3 linked regions of the Sus scrofa genome follow. The protein of the gene in region 1 interacts with the protein of each later gene in a pairwise test. Links are inferred from orthologs where the notes say so. Each region holds a gene or a part of one and is shown in the gene's direction. Other genes may lie near its edges.

Evidence for each region.
Region 2: the proteins of NFE2L2 (region 1) and TNNT1 interact in binary tests that used the Homo sapiens proteins (3 or more experiments, as listed by UniProt). The two-hybrid records come from large-scale screens. The link is inferred for Sus scrofa from reciprocal best matches to the Homo sapiens genes NFE2L2 and TNNT1.
Region 3: the proteins of NFE2L2 (region 1) and MAFG interact in binary tests that used the Homo sapiens proteins (3 or more experiments, as listed by UniProt). The link is inferred for Sus scrofa from reciprocal best matches to the Homo sapiens genes NFE2L2 and MAFG.

The regions. Positions count from the first base shown.
Region 1 is NC_010457.5:82,970,730-82,974,374, reverse strand, and holds part of NFE2L2 (nuclear factor erythroid 2-related factor 2), read left to right. Parts: coding exon 1-244; 3' UTR 245-3,645.
Region 2 is NC_010448.4:59,360,679-59,364,394, reverse strand, and holds the start of TNNT1 (troponin T, slow skeletal muscle), read left to right. Parts: upstream 1-784; 5' UTR 785-789; coding exon 790-821; intron 822-930; coding exon 931-944; intron 945-1,187; coding exon 1,188-1,214; coding exon of another isoform or gene 1,215-1,259; exon of another isoform or gene 1,260-1,464; coding exon 1,465-1,497; exon of another isoform or gene 1,498-2,054; coding exon of another isoform or gene 2,055-2,268; coding exon 2,269-2,290; intron 2,291-3,716. UniProt on the Homo sapiens protein: Troponin T is the tropomyosin-binding subunit of troponin, the thin filament regulatory complex which confers calcium-sensitivity to striated muscle actomyosin ATPase activity.
Region 3 is NC_010454.4:1,067,610-1,071,354, forward strand, and holds the start of MAFG (transcription factor MafG), read left to right. Parts: upstream 1-1,464; 5' UTR 1,465-1,539; intron 1,540-1,883; exon of another isoform or gene 1,884-1,936; intron 1,937-1,986; exon of another isoform or gene 1,987-3,745. UniProt on the Homo sapiens protein: Since they lack a putative transactivation domain, the small Mafs behave as transcriptional repressors when they dimerize among themselves.

The DNA.
Region 1 (3,645 bases):
GGAGCAAGATTTAGATCATTTAAAAGATGAAAAAGAAAAATTGCTCAAAGAAAAAGGAGAAAACGACAAAAGTCTCCATCTACTGAAAAAACAACTCAGCACCTTGTACCTTGAAGTCTTCAGTATGTTACGTGATGAAGATGGAAAGCCTTACTCTCCAAGTGAGTACTCCCTGCAGCAAACAAGAGATGGCAATGTATTCCTTGTTCCCAAAAGTAAGAAGCCAGATGTGAAGAAAAACTAGATTTGGGCATATCTGACCTTTTCTGAGCTAGTGGATTTTTTTTTTTTAATACTAAAAGCTCCTACTGTGATGTGAAATGCAGAAATATACTTTATAAGTAATTCTATGCAAAATTATAGTCAAAACTAGTGTAGAAAATATAAAACTTTGAAAAGCATTAAAATAAGTTATCAGTATGCTGAATCAGTAGTTTCACTTTAATTACAAACTTAATTTCTTAGAACACCATTTGGGCTAGTTTCTGTATACGTGTAAATACTACAAAATCTTATTTATACTATTCTTATCTCATTTGTTACGTTCAGATTTATACGATACAACATCTGGCTAAAAGCAAATTGTTGCAAAACTAACCACTATGTACTTTTTTATAAATACCATATGAACAAAAATGGCATTTTTTTATATTAAATTGTTTAGCTCTGGCAAAAAACAATTTAGTTGAAAAGTTGGTACTAATAAAGAATATGACTCTTAAAGTGTTTCTCTGAAATTCATTTGCATTTATTCATAGTATCTTCTGTGACAATATGAAAAGCATGCTAAAATGGCAGAGAGTATCAAAAAGATTTCCTCTTTAGCAGTAGGTACAAGTGAAGCAAGAAAAAATAAAAAATGACATACATATAGCATGCACCCAGGTGGCAACATTTGGAAAGTGTGGGAAACCCATTCTATTAGCAAAGATGGAACACAGGAAAGTCTAAAGGTTCTAGGAGTCTATTTGAGAAAGAATAACTATATGGTTGACCGTAGAGGGAGAAAAAAAGGTGGGTCAGTAGAATAGGACATGGCAAAGATCCTTGCTAAGCCTTTAAGAACTTTGGCTTTTACCTAGTGGGGAGCTTCTGGAGGTGTTAGGAGTAACATCTGCGTTAAAAGCTTCCTCTGCCTTGGTGTTGGCAGTAGTCTAAAGGGTAATGGTAGGAGCTGGAGACCAATGGGGAGACTGAAATATTAACATGGGACGTGGTGTCCTGGTTTAGAGTGATAGCAGTAGTGAGAAAGCATTGGATTCTGCATTGTTTTAAAGACAGAACTAAAAGGATTTTCCAACAGATGGATTCAGGGTGAAGGCAGACTCAAGGCTATGGTTCGAAGGTCTAGGTGGGCAAATTAGTTCACTTTGGGACATAGCCAGTGATAAACATGTAAATACCAGGTCCATTTAGAATAAGCACCATGTGCTAACTATTCACTTGAAAGTCCTATCAACCGGTTAGGACCAAAACACTGCACATACCCTAGAGCCAGATCGCCTAGGCTGCTGCAGTTTTCCTAGAACCACCTCCAGTGAGGCAAAGCACTCAGGCTGCTTCCTTATCTGTAAAGCAGGGATAAGTGCTGTTAAGCACTCTATAAATTGGGCATTTTCTTTAGTCCTGTATCAGCATGCCCTTTGGTTGATGGTGAAAGAAAGAATTTGACTCAGCTGGCTGGAAAGCTCAGGCTTGAAGGCAACTTCATGGACTAATGGAACAAGGCATTCAAACGCAGATTATGCTGTGGCCTGTCTGGATCAAAACATCCTATAGTGGTGGTGACGACATCCCTGGAAGAAACTAAACTTTTCCTATCTCAGAAAACTCTCTTGAATAAAGTGCCCTTAAACAAAATTAGGGGTGGAGATTGGGAGCAAAGGCAACAATCTGTTACCACCCCCTACCTGGAATTAACTGGCACCTACTACACAGGGGGAGAACACTGGGCAGACCAGATCTTCTAGCACAACAGCAAATTCCTTCACTGTTGGTGCATTTAGATTTCAAAATGAGTTCCAAGACAAAACGCCATAGAGCCTTTCAATATCTAAATATCACTTTCAAATACTAAACATAGAGAATTAGGCAGAACTAAATTTTAAATATAACAAATCCTAACAACTTCCCTATGACTAAAGTAGATTTGTTTTTGCTTTTGAGGGCCACACCTAAGGCATGTGAAAGTTCCCAAGCTAGATGTTAAATCACAGCTACAGCCACCCGGGATCCGATCCCTGTCTCCAACCTACAGCACAGTTCATGGCAACACCAGGGATTGGACGTGTTTCCTTATGGACACTAGTTGGATTTGTTTCCATCACACAAGGGGAACTCTCAATTTAATTTCTCCATCTGAATGTGCAATACACTTATACCTGCCTCCTCAGATTAAATTTGGCTATGCAATTGTTAAGCCTTATTGAACTCAAGTTTCTAGTTTTAAAATGGGCACCTGTGCCTGCTGGATTGAGATATATCAAGCATTCTATTAGAAATCTTAATATAGCATGCTAGTGCATGTTACATTAAAAATGTTCTTGCTAGGACTTATTCTATAGCCTATGGAGAGGCTGCTCAACTGCATCCCTGCTATGGCTCAGTGGTAACGAACCCGACTAACATCCATGAGGATGTGGGTTTGATCCCTGGCCTCACTCAGTGGGCTAAGGATCCGGCATTGCCGTGACCTGTGGGGAAGGTCGGAAGATGTACCTTGGATCCCACATTGCTATGGCTGTGGTGTAGGCTGGCAGCTGCAGCTCCAATTGGGCCCCTAGCCTGGGAATATGCTGCAGGTATGGCCCTAAAAGGTGGTGGTGGTGGGGATAAAAATGTACCTGATATTACTTCCCATACCCATTCTTGTTTTTAAATCTTATAACTGATACAAAGTAATTCTAATTCTTATTTTAAAAATATTTACCAGGCCAGTTTCCACTTTTTGAAGAAAACTTAAAAGACTGTAAGAACCTTAATGCTACATGGAGGGAAAAAACCCTCACATTGGCATTAACTTCACTGTCACTCATTAAAGTTGAGAAATACTATCTCCTTAAGCACCATGGACCAGGCACCAGTATAAGCTCTTTAAACCTGTTATTTGAGTTTCCTTGTGGCACAGTAGGTTAAGGATCCTACAAGTCACCGCAGCGACCAAGGTCAATGTTGTGGCATGCGTTTGATCCCTGGCCTGCGAACTTTCATGTCACGGGTACAGCCAAGAAAAAAACAAAACCCATCATCATATTTAACCTTCAGACTTACCGAGGTCAAGCTATTAGCTCTTTTGCAAAAACAAACTATGTGAATACAAGAATTCTGAATCTTGACAATAGCTTGATCAGCAAAAATTCCTTCTTTCACTAACATTTAATGAAATTAAACATCTCCTTCAATGTTTACAAGCAACAAAATACAACGGTATTTGCAGTACCTCTGATTTTGTCATTAGTTAAAAAATCCTAATTTTCTAAGTTCCCTTCCCTGCTGCGGTGCAGATTTGATCCCTGGCCCAGGAACTTCCATGTGCCATGGGTGTGACAAAACAAAACAGATACTGTGAAGTATCTCAAAACACTTATAATCACAACTTCAAAATTTTAAGTCAGACCCACCACTAGCCTTATCTGATGTTTTTAT
Region 2 (3,716 bases), on another chromosome or scaffold:
GGGACAAGGGTGGCAGAGGGGAGTGGGTATGATGAATTCTCCCAGAACCCCTCCTCCTAGAATACTTTTTAGATGTCCTCTGTGTCACCCTCCACGACATCCCCCCAAAATAGCCCTTGGGGGTGGGGCAGCTATTGTCTTCAGGCCACTGTGTCTTCCCCAAATACCTTCCCCTAATCCCTCCTCAGATCAGGTTCCAAAGGACTTGTCATAAGACAAAAGAGGGCAGCTGTGGTGAGGGGGTGGGGCCTGTGGCTTTGGGGTTGGTGGGGCCATACCTTCCCAAGCCCTGTCTTCATCCGCGGTTTAGGAATCTTTGGGAGTTGAGGGCCCCCAGCTCCTCCTCCCCCAGACCCAGGGGTCCTGTCCCAGCCCCTTCTCCCTCAGACCCAGGGGTCCTGCCCCAGCCCCTTCTCCCTCAGACCCAGGGGTCCTGCCCCAGCCCCTTCTCCCTCAGACCCAGGGGTCCAGCCCCCAGCTCCTCCTCCCTCAGACCCGGGGGTCCAGCCCCAGGCCCCCGGCCTCAGACCCAGGATCCAGCCCCCAGCTCCTCCTCCCTTGGACCCAGGGGTCCAGGTCCCAGCCCCTCCTCCCTCAGACCCTGGAGTCCTGCCCCAGCCCCTCCTCCTCCAGACCCAGGGGTCCAGCCCCAGCCCCCCCCCCCCCCGTCAGACCCAGGATCCAGCCCCCAGCCCCTCGTCCCTCAGACCCGGGCGTCGGGACCCCAGGTCGGGGATCCCGAGTCCCTCGTTTGGACCCCCGTTCTCTGCCTCTCTAGGTCACGCCAGGATGTCTGACGCCGAAGAGCAGGAATATGAGGAGTGAGTGATGCTGGCGGGAGGGCTGGGGGCTCGGAGCGGGGGAGACCCCCTCCGCCTCCGAGGCGCCTAACTCTCCCCCTCCCTCTTTTCTCCCCGCCCGGGTCCTCAGGGAGCAGCCTGAAGGTGAGTGCACTTCGGCCCACCCCGCCCGACCGGCCCGACGCCCATCCTCCTGGGAGGGAAAAGCCCATCGTGCCCGGCGGCCGCTGAGGCTGACGGGTCCCCCCCCCCGCCCCGCCCAGCTGAGACTCGAGCCCGAACCTGGGTCTCTGCCCCCTCACCCACTGGGTCCCCTCTCTGAAAGCCCTTCCACCCCGGGTCCCCCTGGGCCCCTAACCCCTCTTCTCTCTCCCCGACCCCTTCCAGAAGAGGAGGCTGCTGAGGAGGAGGAAGGTGAGGCCCCGGACTCCGCAGGTCTGGAGCTGGACGCAGGTCTGGGGGGGTGGGGGACAGGCGGGTGGGTGGGGGGCCCGCTGGTCCAGGGGTGCAGGCCGGGCGGGGCGCGGGGCTTTCGGGGTTCTCGGCCTCAGTTCCTTTAACAGCCTCTCCCCTCTCTCCCCTCTCTCCCCCCCTGCATCCGGGCCTGGCCGCTCCCCTCCCCTGGCTCCCCAAACCCTCGCTTCTCCTCCTGCCCCCTCCCCAGCCCCCGAGGAGCCAGAGCCGGTGGCAGAGCGAGGTAACCGCGGCTGCTTCGCTTCCTGAGACCAATTGCGGGGTGTCCTCTGGGCCCTGACCTCCACGAGAACTCCCTCCCCGCCCCCATAACCCGCCCCGGACCCGGTCCTTTAAGCCCCGGAGAGCCCGCGCGCCCTCTGGTGGCCACGAAGGGAAATAGCCTCGCAGCGGCTTTAACCCGTTCCCTTCCTTCTTAAAGGGACCGACACCCAAGCCTTCTTCCCCAGACTGGAGGAATACTTATAGAAGGGTTGGATGTTTGCGGAGAGGCACCCCTCCTCCCCTCTCATCTTCGCCTGTTATTTTTCTCCCCCATATACATTCAAAGGTTGGGGCCTGGGTTGCAGAAGGGGGTAGCAGTGGGGGTCTGGATTCCTGTGTCCCCAAGGGGGAGGTGGCTGGGGACACAACTCCAGGGTCCCCGAGTGAACAGAGGGCTTGGGGAGGAGGGCAGGAGCTCTGGGTCTGCAGAAGGAGGGTGGGGGGTTTGGAAGCCTGGTTTCCCAGCGAAGCGAGTGGAGGGGGGGAATCCCCACACCGGTTCTGAATGTATATCTGATGCGTGTGACCCCTCCCTCCCTTTACGGCCACCCCGATTTCCCTTCTCCTCTTTTACCCCCGCCATACCCCTCCCCCAGGGCTGCAGGACAAGGGAACTGGGCCTGGGGACCAAGTCTTGGGGGGGCGAGGAGGGCCCACCTTTGGGTGTGTCGCGTCCTCCCACGCCCACAAACTCTTGCTAATTGTGTCTTTGTATCCCCCCCCCCAACAGAAGAGGAGCGCCCCAAGCCAAGGTGAGATCCTAGGGCTGGGGGTGGGGTCTCTTAGATCTAGCCCCTGCCTTCAGAGACAGGGTGCAAAAAAAGACGGGAGGAGGAGTTCCCGTCGTGGCGCAGTGGTTAATGAATCCGACTAGGAACCATGAGGTGGCAGGTTCCATCCCTGGCCTTGCTCCGTGGGTTAAGGATCCGGCATTGCCGTGAGCTGTGGTGTAGGTCGCAGACACGGCTCGGACCCCGCGTTGCTGTGGCTGTGGTGTAGGCCGGTGGCTACAGCTCCGATTGGACCCCTAGCCTGGGAACCTCCATAGGCCGCAGGAGCAGCCCTAGAAAAGGCAAAAGACAAAAAAGAAAAAAAAAAAAAAAAAAAAAAAGACAGAGGAGAGGGGGAGGGACACCTACGAAAGGACAGTGATTCTGTCCTTCAGCAAACATTTCTGGTGAACTTCCCATGGTATTTGATGAGTCAGAGTGTGGCTGCCCTGCTGGTGAAGCAGACCCAGATACAAAGATGGTAGCACAGAAGAGGCCCTAGCTATGCCCGGTGGCAGTCATGGAGGGCTTCCTGGGGGAGGTGCTGCCCTGAGTCCTGGGAGTTTGCTAATTGAAGGAGGTGGGAGAGATTGTAGTCGAGGAAGCAATGCAGAAGGTGCAAGGTCCAGCGGCCAGATCTCGGCCAGTCTTTGAGGATCCAAGCTCTGCAGACAGGTGGAGGCCAGGCTGTGAGAGCTCCTTGGGAGAGGGAGAGGAGACCTGGAGGTGGGGACCTTGGGGCCAGAGATTGGTGTTGCAATCTGAGCATGAGATGCAGTGGACAGTGGAGTTTCACCACGGCTTGAGGGATGAGGAGGCAGAGTCAGATGGGAGTGAGGACACAGCTGGGCTGCAGCATCAGGAAAGCTCGTTGGAGGCAGGAAGGCCTCAGGTGCGGAGAATGTCAGGCGAAGGCCATTGCAAGCTGAGCACACAGCATGTGCAAAGGCCCGGGGGCGTGAAGCCATGTGGCATGGCCAGAGAACTGTAGAATTTGGTGAGTTTTCAGGGAAGAAGGCCTAAGCCTGGGCAGGGGGCAGGGGGTGGAAAGGGGGCCACAGACGGAGAGATTTCCAGGTTGGGGAGCTCAGCTGGGGCATGGAGCCATCCGTTACCTGGAGTCTGGAGATTGGGAGAGAGTCTGAGCTGGAGACCAGTGTTGGTGAATCCTCAGTAATTGAGGAGAATCCAAGTCACAGATGAATGATATTAATCACTAGCATTTCCTACAAATGAATCAGAGGGTAAAACTCTCACCAGGGGACAAGGAGACAGCGATGAGGGCAGGCAGAGCCTTAGGAAGCCTATCAGAAGAAAGCGTGTTCTTAGAAACCAAAGAAAGAGAAAATTTCAAGAAGTGGGAGTTCGGGGCTGGGCTTCAAGAAGGCAAAGGCGTATCCCCAGAGAT
Region 3 (3,745 bases), on another chromosome or scaffold:
GATGACACCAGAGGAGACCGAGCCAAAAGGAACTCTTTCTTGCCCTCAGGGGCAAGTCTTTGTGGTTTAGTACCTCGAATTGAGGGCCTGACAAGTCAGGCCCTATACTCTGAGACTGGCTCCGTGCTGGAGGACACACCCTGTCCTCAAGAGCCCAGATGATAAGACCACTACATGCAGCCCTGCCAAGCAAAAGGTGACAGAGTGCTTTGGGATTCAGAGGGAAGCTACTGGAGTCTGGCAGGGAGGGTTTCTGACACCTTGATGCTCCAAGGCTCTAGGGGCCACCTGGGTGGCCTTTGTCGTTCCTTCAGTGGCACTGAATTCCCATAAGGATCCTGCCCTCGTCCCTGGCTCCTCCCTCTTTCAGCTCATCTGATCTCACTGACCTGTCTGGTGGGGGGGGGCGCGACCCTTCCTGACCTCACACCTGAGAAGAGACGTCCAGAATCTGGAAGTAGAATTGGGTCCCTTCAGTTTCCCTTCTTCCTTTCCAGACCTCTTTCTCTGGGGATTTTGAACAGAAGTGAGAAGTCCTTACAGAAAGTGTAGAAACTTTCTGTAAGGGTCCATGGGTCCATGGACGGGGACCTAAGCTCGGGGCAGACGCTGGTGAAACAGAAAGGAAAGGCGCACCCCCTACATCAACTATGAATTCAACAGATGCTTACTGATGCCCACATTCACCGCACCCACTCTGAGCCAGACGGGTTCTAGGAGCCGCCTGAGCCCGGTCCCTCATGTGAGGTCTCGGGATGCTGGGTGAAGACAGACCACACTACTCAGAAGCCTTGGAGGCGGCCTTGAGCTTCGGACAAACCCTTCGCCTCCCTGAGCCTGTGGGTCTCCTGTGAACCAGACAGCTGTTCCTGGCAAGGCTGAGGCCCGCTCCGCAATTACGGAGGCAAGGCATGCAGAGCCTGCCGGGGAGTAACAGAAACACCATGAGGACCTTCTCCATAATGCGTACGGACCTCGGATCCGCAACAGAAAACCGGACACGTGGCCTTTGCAACGTCTGCGCACAAGCCTCAGGAGAGCTTCAGAGGACCACGAGGCCCCGCCTCAAAGGGGGCGTGGCCGGACAGGGAGCGCGCGCCCGGGCCAGTCCCGCGAGACCTCACCCATCGGGCGCGGCGCGCGTTGCCAGGGCGACGGCGCCCGGCGCGCAGGCGCAGTGCCGGCGCGCTCTGCCGCCCGCCGCCGCCGTCGCCGCCGCCGCGCCTTCCCCTTTAAGCCCCAGCCGGTCGCGTCGCCGCTTCATGAATGGAGCCCACGTGACCAAACATCATGTGACGTCTGAGGAGCGGCGGCGGGCGGCGGCGGCGGCGGCGGCGGCCGGCGGCGGCGGCGGCGGCGGCGGATCCCGAGCCCCGAGCCTGGTCCGGCCCGGCCTTCCAAGCGCGCTCGGACCGGCCCGCGCAGGCGGCGAGCCCCTACCCCGGGCCCGGAGCCCCCGCGCGGCCCACTCCCGCGCGGCCTCGGAGTGCCCGCCCCGCCCCGCCCCAGCCTCGGCCCGCCGGGCCCGCAGTGTGGTGGGTGAGTGCGGCGGCGGCCGGGCCGGGGCAGGGCGCGGGGCAGCTGGGGGCTCCGGGCCGAGGGCGGGCTTCCGCGGGGCCTCGGCTCCTTCGGGCGTCCGGGGCGGCGCGGGCCGGACGCTCCGAGCTTCGGCTCTGCCCCGCGCCCTGCTGGCGGCCCGTGCCTCGATTTCCCCACTAGTCAGAAGCGGCTTCCTGCCCTTGCGCCTGGGGTGCTCGGGTGGGCGCGGGGGTGCCCACAGGGGCGGGGCGGGGCTTGCGCGGGCTGGCTTGCTGGGCCGGGGCGTCCTGGAGGGAGGGGCGGCCGGGGTGGCGGGAGGAAAGGGTGGGGTCGATCGGGGAGCCCAGGGCTCCGCGGAAGAGCCTGGCCGTCCCAGCCTGAGCTGCTGATTCATCAGGTGTCTGTGTTAACGCCTCTCGGACGCGGGGGTCCTTGGAGGCCGGGGGGAAGGGGGCGGCACGTGGGGGGTGGCTAGGAAGACCCTCCCCGCGCCGACTTCGCTCTGTCACACTCGTGCCAGAGCCCAGAGGGAGACTTGCTGAGTCATCAGCATGAGGTCACTCGATGCTTGTCCTGATGCCTGGGGGGATTTGAGCGAGGGGCTCGAGAGGCTGGAAGCGAGAGGTGAGAGCTAAACCAGGGAGTGGGAAGGGGCTAGGCCCCAGGCTGGGGTGCCTGCTTAAGTTCGGGCTGATGTGCGTGTTGAAGGTTTGGGGGGTGAGTAAATGGAGGGACCGCTATTCTTATTATTCTGGGGTAGAGGGTGAAGACCCTGGTCCGTCCATCCCCTCCCCGGCAGGCTTTTCTCAGGCTGCTGGTCCCTGACCCGCGTCTGGGACAGTTCCCCAAACTGGGAAATAGTTCTCTGAGTGAGAAGAGGGAGGAGCTTAGGGGGGCTGTGCTTGCGGGCTGGGAAGCCGGCTTTCCTTATGACTGGTCTGGTTGGCCAGGCTGGGCAGCCTCTGGGCGGGGAAGATGGGGAGACAGTGGGAGAAAGAGGGGTGCCTGTACCCGGTTTCTGGGTAACAGTGGACAGGGCAGGGGGCATGTAGGTGCAGCTCTACCAGGAAATTGCCAATGAGAGGAAGCAGCAGGACTTAGACTTCAGGGGAGTTGGTGTCTGGTGAGCAGGCCCTGCCTCTCTTCACAGCCCGCCGTGGGGTCTGGCTCGAGGCTGTGGGTGGCGGTAGCTTGGAGGGCACCCACCTTCAGGGCACTGGACTGGGGTGGACGGCATGGGCTGAAGAATCTCAGTCACCCCGGATTGTTCTGGTTGGGCTCAGGGTTGTGCAGCTTAACAAAGAAGGTGGTCCTGATGGGGTGGTGGTGGGGACTCCTGGGGAGGGAACTCCAGCCTGAGGGTCGTGTGGCCTGAGCCACCTTCCTAAGTGAATGGGTGGTTCCTGGTCTCCAGGGGCGGGGGTGGGAGTGGGGGTCTTTCCTCTAGACCAGAGCTGATCCTTTTGCCCAGGGGTTCAAGGCTAGGTAAGGCTGACCTTGTGCTTTGTCCTCAGGCATTACTTCCGCTCCCCTTCACCCCAGCCCTGGGCATACAGATGCCAGCTGATCTTTTTTTTTTTTTTTTTTTTCCTGGCCACAGCATGCAGTGGCTTGAAGTGGGATCTCAATTCCCAGAAAAGGGATGGAACCCAGGCCGCAGCAGTAAAAGTGCCGAGTGCTAAGCACCAGACCACCAGGGAACTCCCACCAGCTGATCTTTTGGCTGGAGTTTTATGAAAATGCAGATTCCTAGAGTGGTATTTCTTTAAATCTTCTCAGCTACTTGCGTTTGGTGGGAATGAAGTTTGAGACACTTTTCAGAGGGCTTCTGGGGAAATGGGTCCGAAGGGCAGGGTGAGTGTAGCGGGCTGGGGGGGGTGCCAGGATGACCGGGGCCACGCCTGCCGGGGAGGTTTGGCCACTGCGGTTTGTAGGACAGGAGAAGCAGGAGCGAGCTGGCCTCCTGCCCAGTGTCCATGCCCTGGAGTTTGAGCCCAGGGGAGGGGGAGGGGGCCCTCTCTCCTTCCTGGCCGGCTCTCAGCTTGAGTGGCTAGGCCTGGGTACCTTGGTGGGTATGCACTCTGGGGACCACCCCTGCCTCCTCCCCGAAGTGGGCTCAGCCTCTGGGGGAGCAGAGGCAGGAGGAGGGCTGCAGGGAGGCAGCGTCTCCTTGAAACGGCCTCGGGGATCCCCTTCCTCCGGCTTC